3 linked regions of the Lepisosteus oculatus genome follow. The protein of the gene in region 1 purifies or fractionates together with the protein of each later gene. This does not show direct contact. Links are inferred from orthologs where the notes say so. Each region holds a gene or a part of one and is shown in the gene's direction. Other genes may lie near its edges.

Region 1 (7,051 bases):
AGGGTCTAATTCGGAGACTATCCCAGCAGGCAAAGGGCTCGAGGCAGGGTACACCCTGGAGGGGACACCAGTCCAAGGCAGGGCACACACAGACACAGACATAAACACATTCACTCACACCTGGGCCAATGTTCCTTTAAGCCAATTAACCCACCTGCACGTTTTTGGACTGTGGGAGGAAACTGGAGCACCCAGAGGAAACACAGGTGAACATGGGGAGAACATACAAACTCCAAACAGACAGCATCCCAGGTCTGAAATTGAACCCAGAGCCCCAGCACTGCAATGCTAACCACTGTGCCACTCTGCGACACCCTTACTCATTATCACAAACTCAAATCATCTCCGAGAATGCTTTATGCACATAAAAAGTGGAAATCCGAGGAACTGTTGCTTTCTTTAACTCCTTTGCAGGTTCCAATTTACATTACTTACCTGCCTTTCAGGAAACGCTGCAGTTGATCTGGTCAGGAATTGTTCAATTACTCCGATTGTCAGAGAAACATGTAATATTGCCATCTGTCCGGTAGGTGGCAGGTTACTCCACTTTTTCGCATGCTTTAGTTTTGCAAACAAAACGCCGAATTTGGCACTCGGGTACTGGGAGTCAAGTGGAAAGTCCACTCAGATGCAAGTTGCTTATGTAAGGGGTTACTTTTGTAAAATTAACATGAATTTGGGGTCGGGGGAAATACTTAAACATTGATCTGTATTGCATGTACAGTATGAGGTTATCGTAGAGAAACTATTAAACATAACAGACCCCTACACGAGCAATTGTATTTGACTACGTTCGTTACATGATCATGGTCACAATTAAGTATTTTTCCCATCACTGGCTGTAAACTTACTAGTCCAGAACAAAAAGCATCGCAGGCCTGATGGACATGAAATGGTGCTTTATCTTATATTTTCAACTTGACTTTGATTTGTTTGTGTTCGTAACCATGAAGTCTTCTTTGCCGGCTTCCGTCCTAAAATCAATATTGCATCTTACTACTTCCGACTCTCCGTCGCGACTTTTGTAAAACTGAAGTTCCGGACCCCCTATTACAGACTTAATCTGTCATCTTCCCGTGAATCTTCTTCATCTGTCATCTTCCCGTGAAGGGAGGACTGGGACAGAGGCTGGGACATTATGTGAGAAATGCAATAAAATGTGGTGCACGTCTCGTTTCATACCTATTTTACATGGTCACAAATGCAAAACCAAAAAAAAAACAAACATTTACACGTCTCAACTATTTTTTGTCATTCTTGGGACCTTGAAACATTTTTGGATCGCTTTACAACTTTGCAGCATTTTCTAATAAGAAATGAACAGCTACTCATTTCGGAAACGCATACAGCCCCTTGGCTGCGATTGCATTGATTTCTGCCTTGAGGAGGACGTCAGATATGACAGGCGCTTTAAAAAGTATTGAATTCCCAGGGGGCTCTGAGCTCTCCAGCTTCCGGGGGACTGATGCTGGTCATCGGATTTTAGGAAGCCGTTCACATCGATCGCGATGGTCGGGACCGACCTCTGTGCAGCTTGTAGGCCGCGCTAGGAATCACACAGCCCTGCTTTCAGACATTACATCAGGGATCCTTGTTTGTTTAGAGATAACACCCGGAGATAAGCATTGCATTTATCCGGCGCAGATCTGCGAAGAAATATTCTTTTTTTGTAAATCATTAACTGAAAAGTAGGAAACAGTAAAAAAAAAACCCGAGCCGGGATGCGAGCATGCTCGGATTCTCTCATGACTAAATCCTGGAGGAATGGCCCTGTTTTCACTGCGAAGGGGCGAGGCTGTGTCCACTTTTATTTCTAGAGAATAATAATGAACAAGAAATAGGTTTGTTACCTTCAGGTGGAGTATGGAATAAACCTATTACTTGTTTCTTTGCAGCCTACGCATGCTGACAAAGCTACTCACCTAAACTAATAATAATAATAATAATAATAATAATTGCTTACACTTACATAGTGCTTTTCTGGACACTCCACTCAAAATGCTTTACAGGTAATGGGGATCCCCTGCACCACACCAATGTGCAGCTATGATGATGCAAGGGCAGCCATTGTGCCCAGAACGCTCACCACACACCAGCTCTCAGTGGGGAGGAGAGCAAGGAAGCCAATTCATAGAGGGGGATTATTAGGAGGCCATGATTGATAAGGGCCAACGGGAAAGTTGGCCAGGACAGCAGGGTTACACCCCTAATTTTTTCTAGAAACACCCTGGGATTTTTTATGACCACAGAGAGTCAGGACCTCGGTTTTACGTCTCATCCGAAGGACGGCGCCTGTTTACAATATAGTGTCCCCGTCACTATACTGGGGCATTAGGACCCACGTGGACCACAGGGTGAGCGCCCCCTGCTGGTCCTACTAACACCTCTTCCAGCAGCAGCCTTAGTTTTTCCCAGGAGTCTCCCATCCAGGTACTGACCAGGCTCACACCTGCTGAGCTCCAGTGGGGCTGCCAGTTGTGAGTTACAGAGTGACATTGCTACTGGCTTGAGCGTCTGCATACAGCCCTATGTTCTGGGTCAGTGGCCGAATGGTAATGAGGTTTTCTCACCAAAGTGATCCCTGTAGTTCAGAACCTGCAAGGTGCCTCAGGATCCTGTAGGCCTAGACACCACACTGTACGGTGGTTAAACAAATACATTTCATATATAACTGGTCTGAGCACTTCCGTTATGCGTGTCCAGTCCTGGCCCTGGAGGTCTGGTGTATGTATATGGGTTTTCATTCCAGGTCATCTCTTCACGGGCTTAAACAGCTGGGTACTGGCTTAACTGGGCCGATCTTACAGCTTTCTGAGCTCTCTCTGTTTGTTAACGAGGTGCACGACACGCCGCGGTCCACCACCACGACTGGACGCCTAACCCGTCTCCCAGGTGAACCCTGGCGGCTTGTGTCCTCCTCCAGGGAGGAGATCCACTTCGGGTTTTGCTGACTCTCCCTCTAAGGAGGAGTAGCTGAGACCTGCTCTCTTCACGAACGTAAGAACGAAAGAGAAGTCACAGGAAGGAGCGCTCTGCTTGTTTAGCTGCTGTTGATCCAGCCACCTCTCGAAATATCCCAGGAATCTGGCTTCAATAACATAGCTGGGCAGTTTGCTCCAGACACTCGCCACTCTTTGTGTAAAAAAGGAACCTCCTTTTTCTAACCCAGTACAAGCATTAGTATCATTATTCACGGGATGTATTTTGTGCTGGCTTCTGATGTCTTCCGACATAAAAAAAACTTACAAATTCTAGCAACTGTGTAACGATGAAAGAGGTCACTGGGGCTGTGGGACAGCCAGGAAATCGAGCTCCTGATAAATCTCTCTGCACAGCCTCTAGTGGATCCGATAACTGCCCGCTTAATTGCTTAATTTGTGTGCAGACTTTACCCTCTGCGAGAGACGATTGTCTTAACGGCAGAGCGCCTTGCATTCCATGCTGTTCTGTCACGTAGTCGGGGAACTGACGAGCACAAAACGTCAGGCAGCCTTGATAAAACCCACTCAATTCACTAAGCGTAAGCGCCCCCACCAGTCTTACAGAAAAGACCTGGCGAAACTCGGAGGGTGTGATGCAATTATAAGGGAGGTCAATACTATCTACCAGGCGATGGCTGCGTTTTAGGTACCGTGACAATTTGACACGATACAATCTCAGCTTGCCGCACGTCGTTTTAATGACATAATATACTCGGTTTCCAAGCATCATCCACGTAATATTGCTTGGGCATCGAGTTGAAAGAATAAAAAAAAAAAATACTCTAATGTGTTTTACAAATGTCATTTTCCCTTACCGTGATGTCAAGATATGGGAACTAAACAATGACACAGTGGATACATTAACACAAATAAAACACGCGTTATATACTACATTTCACTTTCTTGTCCAATTTATAAAACTTTATTATCAGGAAAATAAACCTCACAAATTAAAGCCATTTTCACATGGGATATCTAGTAAAAAATACCGATCCCCGTTCTTCCCAAAGTTCTCTTTGGGATTATATGTTTTTGGTTGGGCGGAAGTAGACGCAGGAATGAGGGAGCGATCAGTCTGGGCGGAGTGATCGGGGAGGTATTGTCAATTTGTTGAAAGTAATAGACTGTAAGAAGAGAAAGGAAGACTTGCGGCCGTTAAAGAAAAACTCAGAAGTTTACGGTCTGTTGTTTGAAGAGTTTAAAATAAAGGGGTTTCTTCTATCTGGGAGCGTTGCTACCGTGCGGCAGAAAGAATAAGGGTGGGAAACGGGACAGAAGCAAAACACTGGATTGCAAAAACATGGAGACACGGAGAGAAGGGTATTCCGCGCAAGTTTGAGGGATTTCGTCTGCAAGTCCAACATATCGGGGAATTTGAAGTGTCGCCCGGAGCTGAAACCGGTTCGATTTGTAGCCTCATCCCTTCGCTGTTCCCCTTTTTTGTGGAAAAGATCTGTTTTCGGATCGGGGAATAAGAGGGAAGCCGAGTATCGAGAGAACACCAAAAAAGTTTTTGCCCTGGAAAGCGCCGGACTGCCTTGCTGAGGAAATCTGGGAGTTCGTGTTGCTGGAAAAAAAAAAAAAAACAACAAGGGGGGGGGGGAGATCGCGTTTTAAAAACCACGCACAGCCGTGCGGGCGCGCCTCGGGTTGCTATGTAAGGATCGGGAAGGGGGGAATCTCAAAATTAGAAAAAAAAAGGACAAGAATTTGCAGGTTTTTGGAAGAGCAGGAGCAGGAGCAGGAGGAGGAGGAGGAGGGGGGGGGTAGTCTTTTTTTTCCTTTTCATTATTCATTGGAATATCGGCAAAGCAGGAGGGCCTGTTTCTGGACAGCGGGGCTCTGAGGAGCCGGGAGGCTAATGGGAGTCCTCGCGGCCGGGAATGCTGTGAGTCGCGCGACCGGGACGGGCTGCTCGCGCCGGGCTTCGGGAAAGTCCCCCGAGCTGGTCGGGAGGGAGCGGGCGGCGCAGTAGGATGAGCGACGGCGGGCACGGCTCCGGGGGGGAAACCGAATAGGGATGTATATTCCTAAAAGCATCGTTTAAAAAAAAAACAAAAACAGAAACAGAAATAGCCGCCGCCGCAGCAGCAGCAGCAGGACGGGTGGGGGGGTGTGGAGGGGACCCCACGGTGGTGTGATGAGAACCTCGCCGACTGTAAAGGCAGGATTCGAAGGGAACAGAGGCGAAGCCGGAGAAAGGAGAGTTTTCCAGCCGGGAAGCGCCTTCACAATAGGAATTTCAGTGCGCCGGCGGAATTGAGCACCAGGCGGCGGGGAGACGGAGCCAGGGGGCGACGCGTGCTCGGGAATCCCGTCCTGCGGATTTTTTTTTGGGGGAAAAAGCCTTTCGCGCATTCCCCGCGTCAGACCCTTCCGGATTCTCTTAGGATTGTACAGCGATCGCCCGGATCTGCTTCATTTTTAGATCCATTTATTTATATGAGATACAATTTTTCTTCCCGCTCCAGTGGAAGGATCCCCGTTTACATTATTGTTGTCGTGCGCCCGGTGTGGGAGAAAGAGTCGTCGCGCTGCGGAATCTCGACAGAAGTCTGCCCGACATCTCGTCCACTGGGGTTTGTTCTTCAGCGATATTCGTATCATTGTTGGCATTTGTGACACACACACACACACGAGAGAGAGAGAGAGCATCCTGACGGATATTAGGAGGGACCTGCTACTTTCCCGACAGACGGAGGGTATTTTTATTTTTGTTAAAATGCTAATTGGATAAGAGCCGAAGCAAAACTCGAAACAGAAGCCCAATGAGCGGCACACAGTCTACAATCACTGACAGGTAAGCGATTCGCGGTGGCGTTTGTCTTGGCTTTTGTTGATATCATTTCCAGGCGTGCAAGGCAAAAAGTGTCTTTTTTTTTTGTTTGTTTGCACGGCGCGGCGTGATGTCTCCCATTAATGTTTTATTTTAATGTGGTTTATCACCCCTCCCCTCAGTCTGTTTGTCAGGCGTTGATCCGGAGAGAAACGATGCTACAGTATGTGCAGATAAAACCTGGCGGTGGGAACAAAGCTGTCGGGGCCGCGGGAGCGAGCGCAGTGTCGCCGCGCCGGGTGGGCGAGATCGCGCGGCGCGGCGGGGCACGCGGGAGTCGGGTGGGCTTCGCACGTCCAAAGCTCAGTTTCATTTCTGAACTGCGTGAAAGGTGGTCGGAGATGGGGTTGTTTGTATTCCCCACACCGAATGGTTTTGACCTTGTGGCCGATACGGTCATGTTACGGAGCGTGACACATATGCGCGACGTTCATTGACGAAGGGCCCCCCGTCTTCGGTCTCATACGATCTCGCATGCTCAGATTTCCGAGGGGCGGAATGCAATCGAAGCGGAGCCCGAACGGCTTTCCGGGGTGGGGAAGGACCGGGTGCTTTTGCGCGCAGCGAAGTTGCAGGCGGCAATGGAGTGGGTTCCGTCTGCACGACAAGCGCCTTGGATTGCATAACGCGCCGCTGCGTGTTCGTGCGTGTGCGCCCCAGCACTGGGGCTCAGACCCCAGAGGCGCCGGGCATGTGTGCTCAGTGTCGGGGCTCTCTGTTCCAGTACCTGCGGTGCTTTCTTCTGGTGCCCAGCGGTTTTGGTGGCAGGTGTGGCGATGTGGACTGAAGCCACCCTCATGCCAAGGGACCAGCGGTCTGCCTGTCTGACGACTGGCTTGCATTGCGCGCCCCTGGGGTTCTTGCAGGGTGACGTCCCGGTCCGGCGGAGGATGGGGTTGGGCCGGACGGCTGACCCGTCCGCAGGGTCAGTTTTTACTCGACTGGTTCACCTGCTTGTGACTGCTCCCGACAGGTGCCGGGGAGCGATTTACCCAGGGACAGGGTGGAGAGAGGGATTTCTTTTCCGAATTCATTTTGTTTTTGTTTGTTTTCTGTGATTTAAATGGCATTTCTGCATTTCATCCTGGGGAGAAGAAGCGAGCGAGCCAGCGCAGTGCTCTTCTGTGCTGGTCTCCCCCTGGCGCTGTGTGTCGGTGCCCCAGCAGGGACTGAGAGGGGGTCAGTCGGATCACGAGCTGTGCGATCCGAAGGCCGTGCCTGAAGCCTCTGGTCC
Region 2 (7,518 bases), on another chromosome or scaffold:
TTGAAAGGTTATTCAAAATAACACTTGGTCAAACTGAGCAGTGTGATTTAGCCATGGCATAAGTAAAGGTGTTCCTAGAAAGTTTAACTTTTCTGTAAATATATATATGTATGTACAGTAGGTACTGGACAACAAAATGGACACCCCAATGTAAGGTCAATTAATAGGGTGTTGGGCCACCATGTGTGGCCAGTACAGCCTGTATGCTCCATGGCAGAGAGTCCTCCAGCATCTGGAATTCTGCAGGTGGGAAGTGATAACATTCTCCTACCTGGTTGATAGAAGTGGAATACACCCTCACGAGTGCTGTTCCAGATGATAAAAATGCTTGATTGAGTTCAGATTTGGCGACTGAGAAGGTCATGACGTATGGCTAACATGAGGGCACTGTCATTCTGGGGGAGACTTCTCTCAGCACGGAAGAGCTGCTGCAATAGGGGGTGAAGATGATCACTTTGTAACAATTAGCCATTATTATTGGTAATAATTATTCCTTACACTTGTATACCACTTTTCTGGACACTCCACTCAAAGCACTTTACAGGTAAGGGGGACTCCCCTCCACCACCAGGACACGAGGGTAACACACTTACTCTTTTTTTTTTTTTAGTCTTTTCGAGAGACGCCCTGGGATTTTTAATGACCACAGAGAGTCAGGACTTCGGTTTTATGTCTCATCCAAAGGACGGCGCCTGTTTACAGTATAGTCTCCCCGTCACTATACTGGGGCATTAGGACCCACATGGACCGCAGGGTGAGCGCCCCCTACTGGTCCCACTAACTCCTCCTCCAGCAGCAGCCTTAGTTTTTCCCAGGGGGTCTCCCATTCAGGTGCTGGCCAGGCTCACACCGGCCGAGCTTCAGGGGGTCGTCAGTTGTGAGTTGCAGGGTGACATGGCTGCCGGATAGCGATTAGCTTTGACCTTGCTCGCTAAGGAACTAAGAGCACCCAAATGATGCCAGGAAAATGGTGAAGTCAGGAAAATCACTGAACAAAGTGCACTTTCACGGTTAATCTGTAAGAGAAGACATCAGTGATCAGACTGTTGAAATCAGCCCGCAGATGGAGGCCAGGAAGTGCAAGATGAAGAAGAGGGAGGGCTCTGTCCAGGGCTAGAACTTCTTGGCAGAAGATGATCCCCCGTGATCAGGAAAGACCTTGGATAGAATGGAACGAACTGGAAACTAGGCTGGCTGATACAAGGAGATGGCCAATGTGCTGTGGGTGACCCGATGGGCAGGCAAGCACAGGGAGGACCAAAGAGACGCTACTCATTCTACACAGTTCCACAGTTATTTCAAGGAATTCCAAGAACTGTCCGGAAAATAAAAGCAAAAACGTAAAAGCGATGAGTATCAAGATTCGTGTGACAGATTAACACATTTAATGGTTCATTCTGTCTTGTTACTTGACCTATAATGGACTAGCACAATGGCATTAGCATGGTATGATTTTCCAGCATGTGTGGTTTTGATGACCCCAAGAAAGTAGGCTCTTAAAATATTTGCACATTTAGATATTTAAAATGTGATTACATTTACAGTGAAAAGTAATTTACAATTATTATTATTAAGTATTGGGTATTTATTGTAGCTCTAATGGTTTGCCGCTGATAGTGTCTTACATTGTGCTGCTTATTTCACACATGGCAGCCGCTGTTGCTGCAAAGCAAATTAAATTTTAAACTCTCAATTTATTTATGTGTATGCAGTAAATGAAAACCAAGCAAAAACACTCACAAAAAAACCCTCTTCAATGTGGCATAGGTAAATGTATAAAGAATAAATCTGAAGAAAGCAGTATTTCATTAAACCTTAAAACACATACGTAATTACGTTTTCAACATCTTTGTACAGAAATGGCATTATGTCAAGATAATTCTCCACATGACTAAAACGAATCAAATCATAATCAAATGGAATGAGGTACCATCCAGTTTCTGAAACGTCTTCCAGCATTTACATGAAGTGTGACTCAGAGGTTTAGACCCAGCAGATTAAACATAATGAAATAAAATAACATGTAAACATTTCAAGAAACAAGTTTTTGCCTCATTGTTCCAACACAGAAAAATGATACAGTTGCCAGGCTTAATGTATCAGGTGTCCAGCTAATTAGATGTGCTCACCCTGTATTGCCTTTCAACCTGGGATAAAATGTCTCCTTTAAAAATACTTAAAAAGTTTTATGTTACTGGATAGTTAAAAATTGATGAACAATAGATTGGCATGTGTTGTATTCTTGTGGAAACCATGGTGATGTTAAAATCTACCTCACCTTACATTTCCACTTCAAGTGCTCTCTGAAGGATGCCGTCTCTGTATTGGAAAAACTCCCAACAGCAGAAACATAAATTTCCTCGAAGTGGATATTTAATTTTTCTTTGAACTGCTTGTATTTTTTTGCTAAACTGTTGATGTCTGCTTGATAGTATTAGCAACACTCTCAAAGTGTTCAAACACAAGAACTAATGAATTCTACCCCCCAACGCAACATAAACGATAATTAATAACTGTTTTTTTGTATTACAAGATATAAGTTTAACATTATTATTTGTAATAGGTACAAGCTTATAATATCCATTCACTTTGAATCTGTTCCTATGGATAACTGAGACCTTTATTGGAATATATTTAATAATATAAAGTAGCAAGCTTCTAATTAATCTTAAACACAAATGAAATCTGCTACTTAAAGTGCTTCGTTTGTGTTTTCTTTGCAATTAATAACTTAGAAACAACCTTTAAGACTTATCACTTATTAAAACTTAAAAAGGTTACAATAATATTCACAGCATTTGTGTTAATTATATTCTGTTATTTAATGTTTTTATTTACTTTCTTGTGTGCTTTATACTTTTTTGTTACCTGACACAAGGTTTAAGTTTCCTCTGCAAATTCTAAACCTTGATTAAATTAAGGCCTTCCCCTGCCCATCAGTCCTCCTGTCCATTTCCCTAACCACTTTATCCAACTCAGGGCTGCAGAGAAGCCAGAGTGTGTCCTGTCAAGCAATGGGCATAAGGCACCACTCCATCACAGGGCATACAGACAGACACGCTCACTCAAAACAGGGCCAATTTACAGAAGCCAATTAACCCACCAGAATGTTTTTGGACTGTGGGAGGAAACCAGAGCCCACACGGGGAAACAAACATGCAGAGCACATACAAGCTCCACGCAGACAGCACCCCAAGACTGGAATTCAGCTTGGGGCCCCACTGCTGTAAATCAGCAAGGCTAACACACATTATAAATACAGTACATGACATCACCTTTTGAATCATAGAGTCTTTTTTGCTCCTATGTAATGGGAATCTACCATCAACACTTGGGTGCGCAATTTGCATTGTGATGAAGGGTTTAATGTTTCTATTCCGGGTCCTCGTCTTTCCAGAATCTTCCAGATGCCAGGCGCAGGTTCCGTCTTTTAAAAACAACACCACTTCGCACTCATTTCGCTTCTTATATTTGATAAAGTGCAACTAACAAACGGCTCATTAACACGTCACTACAGTGCAACTGGAATTGTGAGCTTCATTCTTTCACGCAGATTGGATTAATCATCCAAACGTTTTATCATTAAAAGCAGTTATCATTTATGGGGTCCGTGTCTCGTCAGCTGCAGGTTTAGGGAACGAACAAAAAGGCTTTTAAGGAGTTAACCAAGAGGTGTTGCACGGTCCGCCAGACACGGCATCTGACTAAGTTTCACTCAAGGTATATGTGATCCCGACAGGTTACACTTCCCGAAGGACTTCTGCTGCCAGGTGACTTGAACTACACCGGCACCGGCAGATGTCAGCTGGAGCGTCTCTGGGGAGCTGCAGCTCCACATGACGATACAAACCGATGGAAACCAGTGGTCCGGTTTAATAAAGCGCCACTGACACGGGGGCAATAAGCTACATATTATTCCACCACGGCATTAAAAAACTCATTTTTTAAAAAACGCTAGTCCAACATGGTATGCTTACTATAATACTAACTTCAGTGCTCGATGTGTTTGGCTCCGCTCGGTTAACTCTAGAACTTCTTGAAAAAGTGATCTTTACATTTCTGACCCGAAGGCATTAGGAGAGAGTCGCACACAAGAACTATAATAAAAAAATAAGCAACCATAAAAAGACCCAAAAGTCAATTACCGCCTTTTCACTCAAAAGCCACATTTACGTACACAGTACATATTATTTGGATCAACTAGCAAAAATATAAGAATATGAAAGCTGTGTGTACCTTATCTTTATTTGCCTCATTTAACCTTTTTTGTAAGATGCAACTGATGGTGTTATATGTACTCTTGTGCGTATTATATATACATCACTGCTGTTACAATAATAATAATAAAAAAAAGAAACTAAAAAAGTCACGCCTTATCTCCAGCCGCCCCGACACAGGCGGCTCACGAAGTCACCCGTCTGCAGCGCCCCCTCTCGGCCGGCCGCGGCTGCGCCTCTTCCAGTGACGTCACGGCCATTTCCCAGGACGTCTTTCCCAGCGAATTGGAGAGCCGGGGCTGCAGCAGGAAGAGGAGCACGGGGAGACCGGAGCCGGGATCTGCGGCTAGGGATCACTTAGGGAAACTTGAACTTTCTGTGTGCACAAGAAGAAGAAGAGGAAATCGCCCCGGAGGACGTTCGGAAAATCGGGACAGAGTAAGTTCCTGTACAACTTTCTGCCTGATTGAGCGTTTTGGATGATGGGGGGGATGTCGTTCAGTTCTGTCGCACTCCGGCTTTGAAACATTAAAGTAGAAGGAAAGGCTCGCCGGTAATGCTGATGCTAATGGAGGCTGTCAAAACACAGGAAGAGCTGCCACTTCATTTAAACTCCCTTCCAGTCCCACAAGCACAGCGACCCGGATTCTGAAAATCCTGTGGTTTACAAATCCAAGCGTGGGATTTCTTTACTTGGTGAATTTGCATATCTTGCAGCGTGAGTTATATTAATTGCACCGCTGATAATATTGCCGGGCAGTAAATACAGATAAAACTAGTGTAAATGTGTCTGTCGGTCGCTTGACTTGTTTTTTTTCCTAGATCCATCCTCTTTTCCTTTATCATCATTTGTATTTGGGTTATCGGTAGCAAAAAAAAAAAAAGAACCGTTTTATTAAGCGTGAACTTGAGTAAATCCTCGGATCCTAGCTTTTTCTGGGCTGTGAAGAGTAATCCGAAGAAATGGCACTTGATTTGCTCTCTGATTTTCTTAAGAGGTTTTGGATATGGGAAGCTTGACAACTTGGAAACTTACACCGCTACTGATACGGACGCGTGTATGAATCTACCTGAGACGATAAAATATGGAGGAGCAGGGCCTCCTGACACCAAGGAGAGCTGCACTCGAGTTAAATAACTGGGTAGGAAAATCGGAGGTACAAAGGTTGTGGCTGGTAACTAGATGCAGGAATGCCTGAAGGCGTTTGCCATTAGCTTTTGAGATACGGAGGCAAAAAATATTACGTCTCGAGTTAGGTCTCACGCTGCGTTCTTGCTGAAGTGAAACTTTAATTCAAAGTTTAAAGCAGATTTTAGGAGTAGTAGTCTGAATTTCTGACACACGGAAAGTTGGAAGAAGCACCCGCAGGAGGTAGGGCCCCTAACCTAATGAATGGTTTGTTTCTAAAATGAATGGAGAAATCGTTAAGGACAGCCTTTAAAAGGTGCAGTTGACTACCCTTACGCATACTGTAAAAATACTTTGCAATGAACTTGCAGGTAAAGTGGGATTTTAAGTCACGACGCACTGCTATTAAACATTGACTTTTATTTTAAATGTATGCTGTTGATTTTAACCGGTGCCCACCACGTCCTACATTTAAAAAAAGATTTTACATCTAAAATAACGATTTCCTGTTAGGTAGTATTGCTTAAAATCACTTGGACTGCTGTGATTCAATGATAGCAAGATAACTATCTTTCCAATTCACTGATGAATGAAATTGGAATGAATGACATACGTCTAAGACCGCATAGATCAGTATTACTAGTACATATTAGGTGACTGGAAATTGGTTGAAACTTATTGCCTTCAATTACGTTGAATTGTATTATAATTCTGAGCAAGATGTAGCTTTAACATTTAATTAACTTTTAGAAAAAATAAACATTTGTCTAACTGTACGTCTTGTGAAACACCATTATGACTTAACCTTTGTACTGCAAGAGCTATGAATTGTGTGCAGCTGGAATCTTTGGTTTATGAGTGATGGCATAAAAAGTTACACTATGTAACTAATTCTTGAAAATGACATTGTAATACGTTCCTTCAAATCCATATCTTTTGGGTATCATTTAACCATTAGGAATAGTTTCTTTTGCAAATGGTGTGCAGTGGAGTGGAAAAACAGCCTCAGGTTCAAAGGGCTGCTAGTACAGAGTAGGGACTTGGTTAACTATTTCTATAAATATGCAGACACTTCCTGCCAGCGGTGGTTTTACAATTCATTAAGAAACCTTGAGCCCATTTGAAGACCACAGTGCAGAACTGTACGATAAAACACAAACTGCTTTATTCGGTGTAGGAGAGAGAAAGTAAAAACCATAGAAATGCATGACTTAATTTAACGGCAAGATAAATTTAGCTATGATGCATCATTAGACTCTAGGATCTAATGAATGGTGTCAGTGCACACCCTTGGCAAAGAGTGAGTTCCACTTTACAGCACAGTATTGACTGCAGAGGAAAGTTGCAGGGTGAAGCTCATCTCCTGATTTTAACACGGGCATCGGTATCAACCAGGGATTCCAGTTGATGGAGCTGTCCACCCAGCTCCTCCCAGTGTTATTATAAAGGGAACGACACCTCCTTATCTCAGGGCTGATTCCACATGCAGTGGAATTTGGACCGTGTCAAACATTTCCGGGATACACATCTGTGTATTACAAAGCTTGATAAAAGGTGGGGATGTCCTTAGAAGCGACAGTTGGAGAGGAGTGTTTGTTTTTGAAGTGCGGCACCTCGAACTTTTCTTCATCGTCATAAAGTGGAAATGGAGGTTTTTCTGCTTCCAATGCTTATAATTCATTAGTGTGGTTTGATGACATTCATCCATTTTCTAAACCGCTTTGTCCAGTACAGGGTCACCTCTGGATTGGACACCAGTCAGCTGCAGGGCTCACTCAGACCAAAAATATACACCCATTTACACCAGGGCTAATTTACAGAAGCCAGCTAACCTTCCAGCATGTCTTTGGGCTGTGGGAGGAAACCAGGGCACCTGGTGGAAACTGATGTGAACATGGGAGGAACATAGAAACTCCACACCGATGGCACCCTGGGAATCCAAGACGCTGTACCAGCACTACGAGGCAGCAGTTCAAACCAATGTGCTGTTATGTCTCCCTAGTTTATCCACAATTGCCTTTATCTGTATAGTTCCATAATTCAAGTGAACCTATTAGTATACTACAAAGGAACAAGAAAAGGTTTATTCCATGCTGAAAAGAGAAACGCAAATGCAATGTTTCGGCTGTGGAGTCTTCTTTGGGTGTGAAGATTTTGAAACCCGAAGAAGGC
Region 3 (7,221 bases), on another chromosome or scaffold:
TGTTCAAGACAAAGTAAAGGAGTAAAAAAAAGGAGAAGTAAAAAAGTTAAACATTTATTAAAATATTTAAATAATCCTCTTCTGCTTTGTTAGCTGTACTGTGAACGTCTTCTGCTTTGTTAGCTGTATGAGGAATCAATTATATTACCAGAAATGTCACCTCAGACAGGACTGTGCCAGTGGGAATTCTGCCTGTGTGCTGCAGTTCAGTCTGTGGTACCGGGACTCACATTTATAACCAAGTCGTTTTTCACACTTTGGAGGCCTAAATGCATTAAAATTTAACCCTGGAAAACAAAAATATGATATCAATGAACTTGCACTGACAGCAATATAACGTAAAATAACTGAAGGGCCATGGAAAACGTAACTTTATATACAGACTGCGATTCATTTCACAGCTTTGAAAAATCATATTATAATCATGTATTATGATTATAATAATGTAATTGATCATTTTGTACTAAATGCTTTCATCTGTAATACATGATTAGCATTATATGCTCAATTTACCCTATTTCCTTAATTGTTTCCAATCCTGAATGTCTTATAATATCTTACTATTAGCTTCCTTAATTTCACCACGCTGAAGTGTCACAACAGCGGAACCGCATCTTTCTGGCTCATTGTTTAAATTGTCTGGATGGACTGGAACTAACAGCAAATTTTTGGAGTAGTACACGTGACTGCGGAGCTCTATAAATCTAGTTGACCGCTGGCATTCTTAACGTCTGCAAAGGGTACTGATTCAGAGGGGAGAATCACAATCCACAGACAGACGAATTGTTCACTGAGTTTATTCTCTGGGTGATTAATCTTTGTCTTGTGTTAAGAGACCTGCATTCCTTAACTTCTCAAAAACCTTTCGCTACTGCTCTCAACAGCCCTGACTACTGGCTGCAGGAAGCTTTTACAAGGAAGCTTCGGTCCTGTAGAGTTCTGGCTGGTGTTAGAGAAATAACTCCACACTTTATGAGCATCACGCAGTGCAAAAGGCGTGAAAACTAAAACGTAAAAGATGAGAAAGGAAATACAAAAAGTGTATGCCACTGAATATTTGATGTACGTCTTTCAGCAAAGATATGTAACATTATAAGAAAAACCAGTAGACACCAGCAGGAAGGTATGTGCAAATTGTCATTGCTTTTATTTGTGGGCTGAGACAGGTACACCCTTCCATGTAATTTGACTCTCAATAATAGTATTGTGTAGTATTATAGGAACAAAAATATCCAATGATGTGCAGAAAGGTAAGTAGTATTGTACTCATCTGTGTTAATAATAGAAGTAGCAGCAGTAGTAAAACTACTGAACATTACATATAGTTCATAATTAGGACTGAGATTTCTGTGACACATTTTGAAGGTGCTAATTTGATACTGACAGCTGAACTACTGCATGAATCTGTGTCAATTAGCAATGTGTAGGAGTAAATTAAAAGCAGAACTACCTGCCAGTTTATTTTAAACAACTTTTGGCTGCAACAATTTGAGGACACAGATACCACAGACAAGTGTCCCTTGACAGCCTGACAGTAGGCTTTGTAAAGCTGTTAACCTGCCCTGCGGATCTTGTATACACATGTGGAAGAGAGTTTAATGAAAAGTGTCTCAACTCAAGAATACCTGGATCTTAAAACTCTTTCAGTTATCTTTGAACAGTCAGTGCAGCTCTATTATGGCTCCATATCATTAAAATAAAATTCAGATATTTCTAATAATTCAGAATTCAGGTGAAGTTTAAAATGGGGTAGATACCTGGCAGATGATCTTTCAAACAGACAAATGTAAAATATTACATGCAAATACCAAAACTATAAATCATAAATACATAATGGGAAATGCTCAGTTTGAAGAGGCTATAAAATTGTGTGCAGTGTATTATTATGAAATATACATTATTTTGTTATTAATCACAAACAGTCTTTCTTTTTCTGTAATACTACAGCCCAGTTTAAACGTGTTAAAGTCGGGTGTACACTGGCATAGATGATGTATAGGAAACAGTGATTTTGCTTTGCAGATCTTTATTTTGTTTTTCCTCAAAATAAATCTAAAGACGTGTGTGTTTACCTCACACACAGACAGTGCAGCTGCTTCAGGCTGCTGTGGAAGAGTGAAGGAATCGCCACCTGACCCCCGAGTCCGAGCAACATCTGTTGCACCAACAAAAAGAAGGGAGCAAAGTTGTACCCCTTCATGTTTTCTGACTTTGAAAACCTTTGTTGATCTTAGCTGGACTGAAAGAGGATTTCCGACACTTTGTTCCCTTTGCTCAAACTGACGACCACTGCAGGGAGCAGTCTGTGAAACACAAAGAACGTTTCCTCTTAACTGGAGTAAAACTGTCACCACACGAATTTCACTTTAGTTGCTTCACATTTACTCTGGTTATTGTGAAAGCCATTTGAGGATTTTCTCTATTTTTTTAAAAGCTAAGGGAACCACCAAGACAAAGCAAAACAAAAATGCAAGTAAAAACCAGGAGTTCATAAATAAACATGAGAACATTAAAAAGGTTCCCTACAAGAGGACGTCTTTCAGTCCAGTGAGCTTGTTTGACTGCTAGTTGCCAACAGATCCAAGGATCTCATCCAGCTGCTGTTTGGAAGAAAACAGGGTATCACTTTCAAGAATATGGCTGAATATTTTGTTCCACTCTTCCATAAAACTTTGTCTCCCATTCTCCCTCTTTTAAGGTACCTCCCCATAGTTTCTATCTGTATCCTCTTGTTCGTGTTTCACTGATGATCCTGAAGAAGCCCACTGGATTTTCGTCTGTGGATTTGCATAATTGAATAACCTTCAAAGAACGCAGAGCTCAGCAAGTTTGTTAAGGAAAATCTACCTTCTTTAAAACCATTCTGACTATTCAGTAAAACAGTACTGCCTCACACGTCTTCTTGTTTAGGAATAGAGCCACAGTAACTCATTGGGCCAGAGGTTGTCTTTGTTTCCTTAGTGTTAGCTGGACGAGAGAACAAATTATTTTCTGCTTGGAGGGGACACTGTTTCACAAGGTTTAACCCCCAGCAATATTGGTCTCTATTTACATAGCTGGGGGGACTGGAGCAACTGGAGTAAAGCACCTCAGTCAAGGTACAACAGCCCTGTCTTCAGCAGTGACTCGAAGCCAAAACCTGCCGGTCATGGGACCTATGCTATACCACCACAGTCCCAGACTCCATGTTGAAAAGAAAAAAGAAAAACAAAAAATTGACTGCTGAGCCTACTCCAAGTGTGAGTGTGAAAGAGGAAGGCAGCAGGGATACAGAGCACTGAAGAATCAAGGACACAGCAGGGTGTGAGAAAGACAGAGGTGGCCACTCCGCCTCCCCTACACTCTCTATATAACCCCTTCTGACTCCCCTGTCTTTCTCACACCTCCACCTCCTCTCTGGAATAAACCTTTAACTTCTTCCTTAATGCTAATTATGTTGGCATAACCTTCCATGTACAACAACAGCATGTGATTTCTTTATACTTTATATCATTTCCTCACTTACTTTTGTGACATAGATAGTATCTTAAATGGTTCAAATACTGCAACACTTCCTCTTCTGTATGAGTTCTGTTTAATACAGTTTCTTCCAGTATCCTCATAAACTGTGTCCCCTTCACTATACTGGGGCATTAGGACCCACATGAGCCACAGGGTGAGCGCCCCCTGCTGCTCCCACTGATACCTCTTCCACTTTAACAGTCGTTAGGGAGGCCATGTTATGGATGTCCAGGGTGAAATTCGGCCAAGTCTTAACTCTGCTTTTATGAAGAGTGTCATGGGATCTTTAATGACCACAAGTAGTGAGGACTTTTCTCATGTGTAGGGGGTTTCCTCTGACATATCAGCGTCACTGGGCACCATACTCAGGAACTTGTTTGGAAATCCTAACCCAGGAGGGAGAAAGCCACTAAGATTAGAAACCTGCTTTCCCTTAGAGGACCCTGTCCTGACCAGGCCCAACTATGCTTAGCTTCTGGGATCTGTGGTGGTCAGGTTACAGGCATCACTGCCGCATTGTACATAAAGGAGGGCCAGTGTCATAAAGCGATTTTAACCCGGGACACATACCGAATGGCCATCATCACAATATATGAAGGCATGTGGCTGCCGAGGGCGTCTGCACTGCGCTGCAGCTGAGCAGCCCTTCAAAGGGGAAGCGCGTCCCCGGGCTGCGCGTGCTCGTGCGCTCGCCCCCGCCGCCCAGTGACTCAGTGCTGCTCTCGGGGTTTTTTTTTTTCGCTCTCGCAGCGGCAGCTCGGCACCGCCATCACCGGAATTCCCCAGCAAAAATGTCCAAGCAGGAGCAGATCCTAATCCTCGATCCACCAAACGATCTCAAATTCAAAGGTAAGGACCCATCGTCGTGGCGGGGCGGGGGAGCCGGGTTTCGCAGCCGCCCCGGAGTACCCAAATCGGGGGATAATTTCGCTCCCCCCCCCCCTCCGGTTACTCGGGGTAAACTGCCCGCCGCCATTTTGAGGAAGGGAGTCGGAGTTGGTGGGCCGCGGCGGATCCGCGGTCTCCCGTGAGCCGCGCAGCCGGCAGGCGAGAAGGCTCTCGCCGCAGCGCAGCTGGCTGAGCTGCGCCCGTCGCCACGTCGGCTTCCCTTGGCAAGCACGCCCGGCCGGAGTGTGATTGTAGCCGCGGTGACAGGGGTCGGGGTGTCGGTGGTGTGGATGTGTCAGGCCCGGGCGTTGCAGGTGAGCTCCGGCAGCGATGGACTGAGCCGCCGGTGTGTGATTTTTGTGTTGTCTGTATTATTATTTTTTTTGCTACGTGGACTAGCGACGCGACAGACGGCTTGAGAGAAAGAGCAGGGATTTTTGTGCCCGAAACAGCTTTGAATCGTGGTGGCGGCGACACTCCTTTGCAGGAATAAGACTCAATCTAAGGAGATTGCATTTCACGGTTTTAGTGCGATTTATTTTGGAAGCGGTGCGGAGCATTGCGTTCCTGGGTGTTGAATGAATCCAACTTGTGCCTTTGCAATCGCAGGCAAAGCTTTAGAAAGCGGCAAGCGGAGATATTGATATTGTTTCGGACACTTTGCTCCAGATTCGCCTGGTCTTCCTTGTCTTTGTAAGTGAAAGTCGCTTATCAGTGAGAAGCAGGGGACGAGAAATGGCAAAGACGATGACATCCACGTGCCAGAAAAAAAGTAAACATTTCTGCAGTGTGATACGCGGATGTAATGGACAAAGGTGGAAACTGCCCTGAATCTGATCTCACGAACAGGGAATCACGGTTGTGAAATCTGTGCATTAATCTAAACAGTGAGCCGATAAACTGCATGGCTGCCGTTGTGCAGGAATTTTCGGAGGAGCGTTTTTCAACAATGAATGCACAAGGACATATGACAAGTCGGGAAGGAAACGAGGCCTCTCCGCAACTTTATCTGGCACGGGTGCTGGGTGATCGATCCCCCTTCACCCAAGGAGGATGGAATCTGAGGCGAGAACACGTTGTAATGTTTCTAATCGAAACCAGAATGTTGTGAAAGAGAGTTTAAAAGGTGCACATAGTCAAAGTGAAGTTACTGCACTGCTTCCTTGGATCGAAATCATCCCCAGCTCTGCAGAGCAGGTAAATTCAAGCTGGATTCGACTTCCTTATTCTGGACGGCGACCAGCTAGAGACTGTGAGACTGTTGCCTGTGATGGCATGTGTCTTCTGAAGAATATCCCGGACATTGTAAAACTCCGAGGTCAGGAGACCTTCCTGGCTACCCCACCTTCATGATAACTCTGTTGTTGTTTTTTTCAAGGAAGTTGTTTGGTTTAGGGAGCGTGAATGGGATTTTTCACCCATTCATTTCCCATCCAGGATTGAGGCAGAGCCAGAGCCAAGCCCAGCAATCAGTGAGCCCAAGGCAGGGTACGTCCTGGATGGGACGTCAGTCAGCACAGGGCACACAAACGCGCACACACACGCACTCACTCACACCAGGGTCAGTTTTCCTATAAGCCAGTTAATTTAACAGTGTGTCTTTGGACGATGGGAGGAAGCCTACGCCACCATGGGGAGAACAGACAAGCTCCACACTGATGGCCCTCTGGCCCCAGCCCTGCGGAGCAACAATACTGACCCCTGAACCACCACGCCGCCCAGCGTAATTACCATGGTATTATTACACAGAATTGGGCCAGCAAGTGCTCCGTTGAATATTAGATGGGAGGCCCTTCTGCATGTAAGAGGAGTTGCAGGGCAAGTGGAGGAGTTGTGGTGATTTGCCTTATTCAGGATGATAGCTTACCACCTTGTTACACTAGCTAGCACATGAAGTCTTCTTCTGACAGCAGAGCTTGACATCAGATGCTGTCTCAGATTCTCTGACTTTTAGGAGATGTGAACAACCTGATGTTGCTTGCATTTTTGAGGTAATTGCTCCTTTTTTGTTTCCAAGACAGGCTTCTAGCTCTGGGGCACTCTGATACATCTCTGCAGTGCCCCAATAAGGGAAACAAGGCTTTTGTTGGGTGGTGTGGCCAGTGTAGCTCTCCTTGCCCCTGCCTGGGTTCGAGCACCTGCGACTCCACTCTCTAGACAGCGGGTACTTGCGCCTAGCTTAAAGACCAGGTCTCTGCCTCTAGCTGTCAGTCCAGCTTCCAGAGGGGGTGAAGTCGAACTTGCGTCAGTGCACCGAGCCCTGTCACAGTAGCAGTAACCGTGTTACACGGTATTTCGATGCAGTTCAGATTTAATGGGGCTGTAGGCTCTGGTACAGACTGAACTGAAGGAACAGGATATGCAGGCTGTATATTTAACTTTGAATGTCTGTCTAAAATTACGTAGTTTAAAGCAAGAAACATGAGACATCCAGCACCTGGTATTGACTAACGCAAGAGCTTACTGTAAAACCTGAAATGCGTCAAGTGGCGTGGTGGTGGGAGTCTCGCGTCTGTTTTTCTTGTTGAAGACCTCTTGCCCCTGTGAACATCTGCATCTCCTTGGAATTGGACGCAGAATGTTGGATCACGCTTTGTCAGACGCCAGGGTGTGTGTCACATACTTTTTTTGAATGGCCTGCCTGCAACTTAACACAAAGGGACAGCCAAGGTGCTTTTGGCAAGCTCTGGTAGCAGATCGCTAGGTGCACCTGCTATGATGGGCGACTGCACACACCGAATTCATTCAGGACGCGTGTAATCACCTGGTGCTGCTGGCTAGGATAGACTCCGTCTCCCCTGCGACGCTCTGTTGGATAAAGTGGGCAGACAA

The links. The genes of interacting proteins can lie anywhere in the genome.
Region 2: the proteins of arhgef12b (region 1) and myo6a purify together in Homo sapiens (affinity purification with mass spectrometry; 4 studies listed by BioGRID and IntAct, counting the BioPlex papers as one, with this or other methods). This does not show direct contact. The link is inferred for Lepisosteus oculatus from reciprocal best matches to the Homo sapiens genes ARHGEF12 and MYO6.
Region 3: the proteins of arhgef12b (region 1) and vapal purify together in Homo sapiens (affinity purification with mass spectrometry; 5 studies listed by BioGRID and IntAct, counting the BioPlex papers as one, with this or other methods). This does not show direct contact. The link is inferred for Lepisosteus oculatus from reciprocal best matches to the Homo sapiens genes ARHGEF12 and VAPA.

The regions. Positions count from the first base shown.
Region 1 is NC_090718.1:14,318,616-14,325,666, forward strand, and holds the start of arhgef12b (rho guanine nucleotide exchange factor 12), read left to right. Parts: upstream 1-4,043; 5' UTR 4,044-5,749; coding exon 5,750-5,781; intron 5,782-7,051. UniProt on the Homo sapiens protein: May play a role in the regulation of RhoA GTPase by guanine nucleotide-binding alpha-12 (GNA12) and alpha-13 (GNA13). Acts as guanine nucleotide exchange factor (GEF) for RhoA GTPase and may act as GTPase-activating protein (GAP) for GNA12 and GNA13.
Region 2 is NC_090697.1:9,138,200-9,145,717, reverse strand, and holds the start of myo6a (myosin VIa), read left to right. Parts: upstream 1-4,509; 5' UTR 4,510-4,655; intron 4,656-5,464; exon of another isoform or gene 5,465-5,589; intron 5,590-7,518. UniProt on the Homo sapiens protein: Myosins are actin-based motor molecules with ATPase activity. Unconventional myosins serve in intracellular movements. Myosin 6 is a reverse-direction motor protein that moves towards the minus-end of actin filaments.
Region 3 is NC_090701.1:56,563,623-56,570,843, forward strand, and holds the start of vapal (VAMP (vesicle-associated membrane protein)-associated protein A, like), read left to right. Parts: upstream 1-4,212; 5' UTR 4,213-4,292; coding exon 4,293-4,350; intron 4,351-7,221. UniProt on the Homo sapiens protein: Endoplasmic reticulum (ER)-anchored protein that mediates the formation of contact sites between the ER and endosomes via interaction with FFAT motif-containing proteins such as STARD3 or WDR44.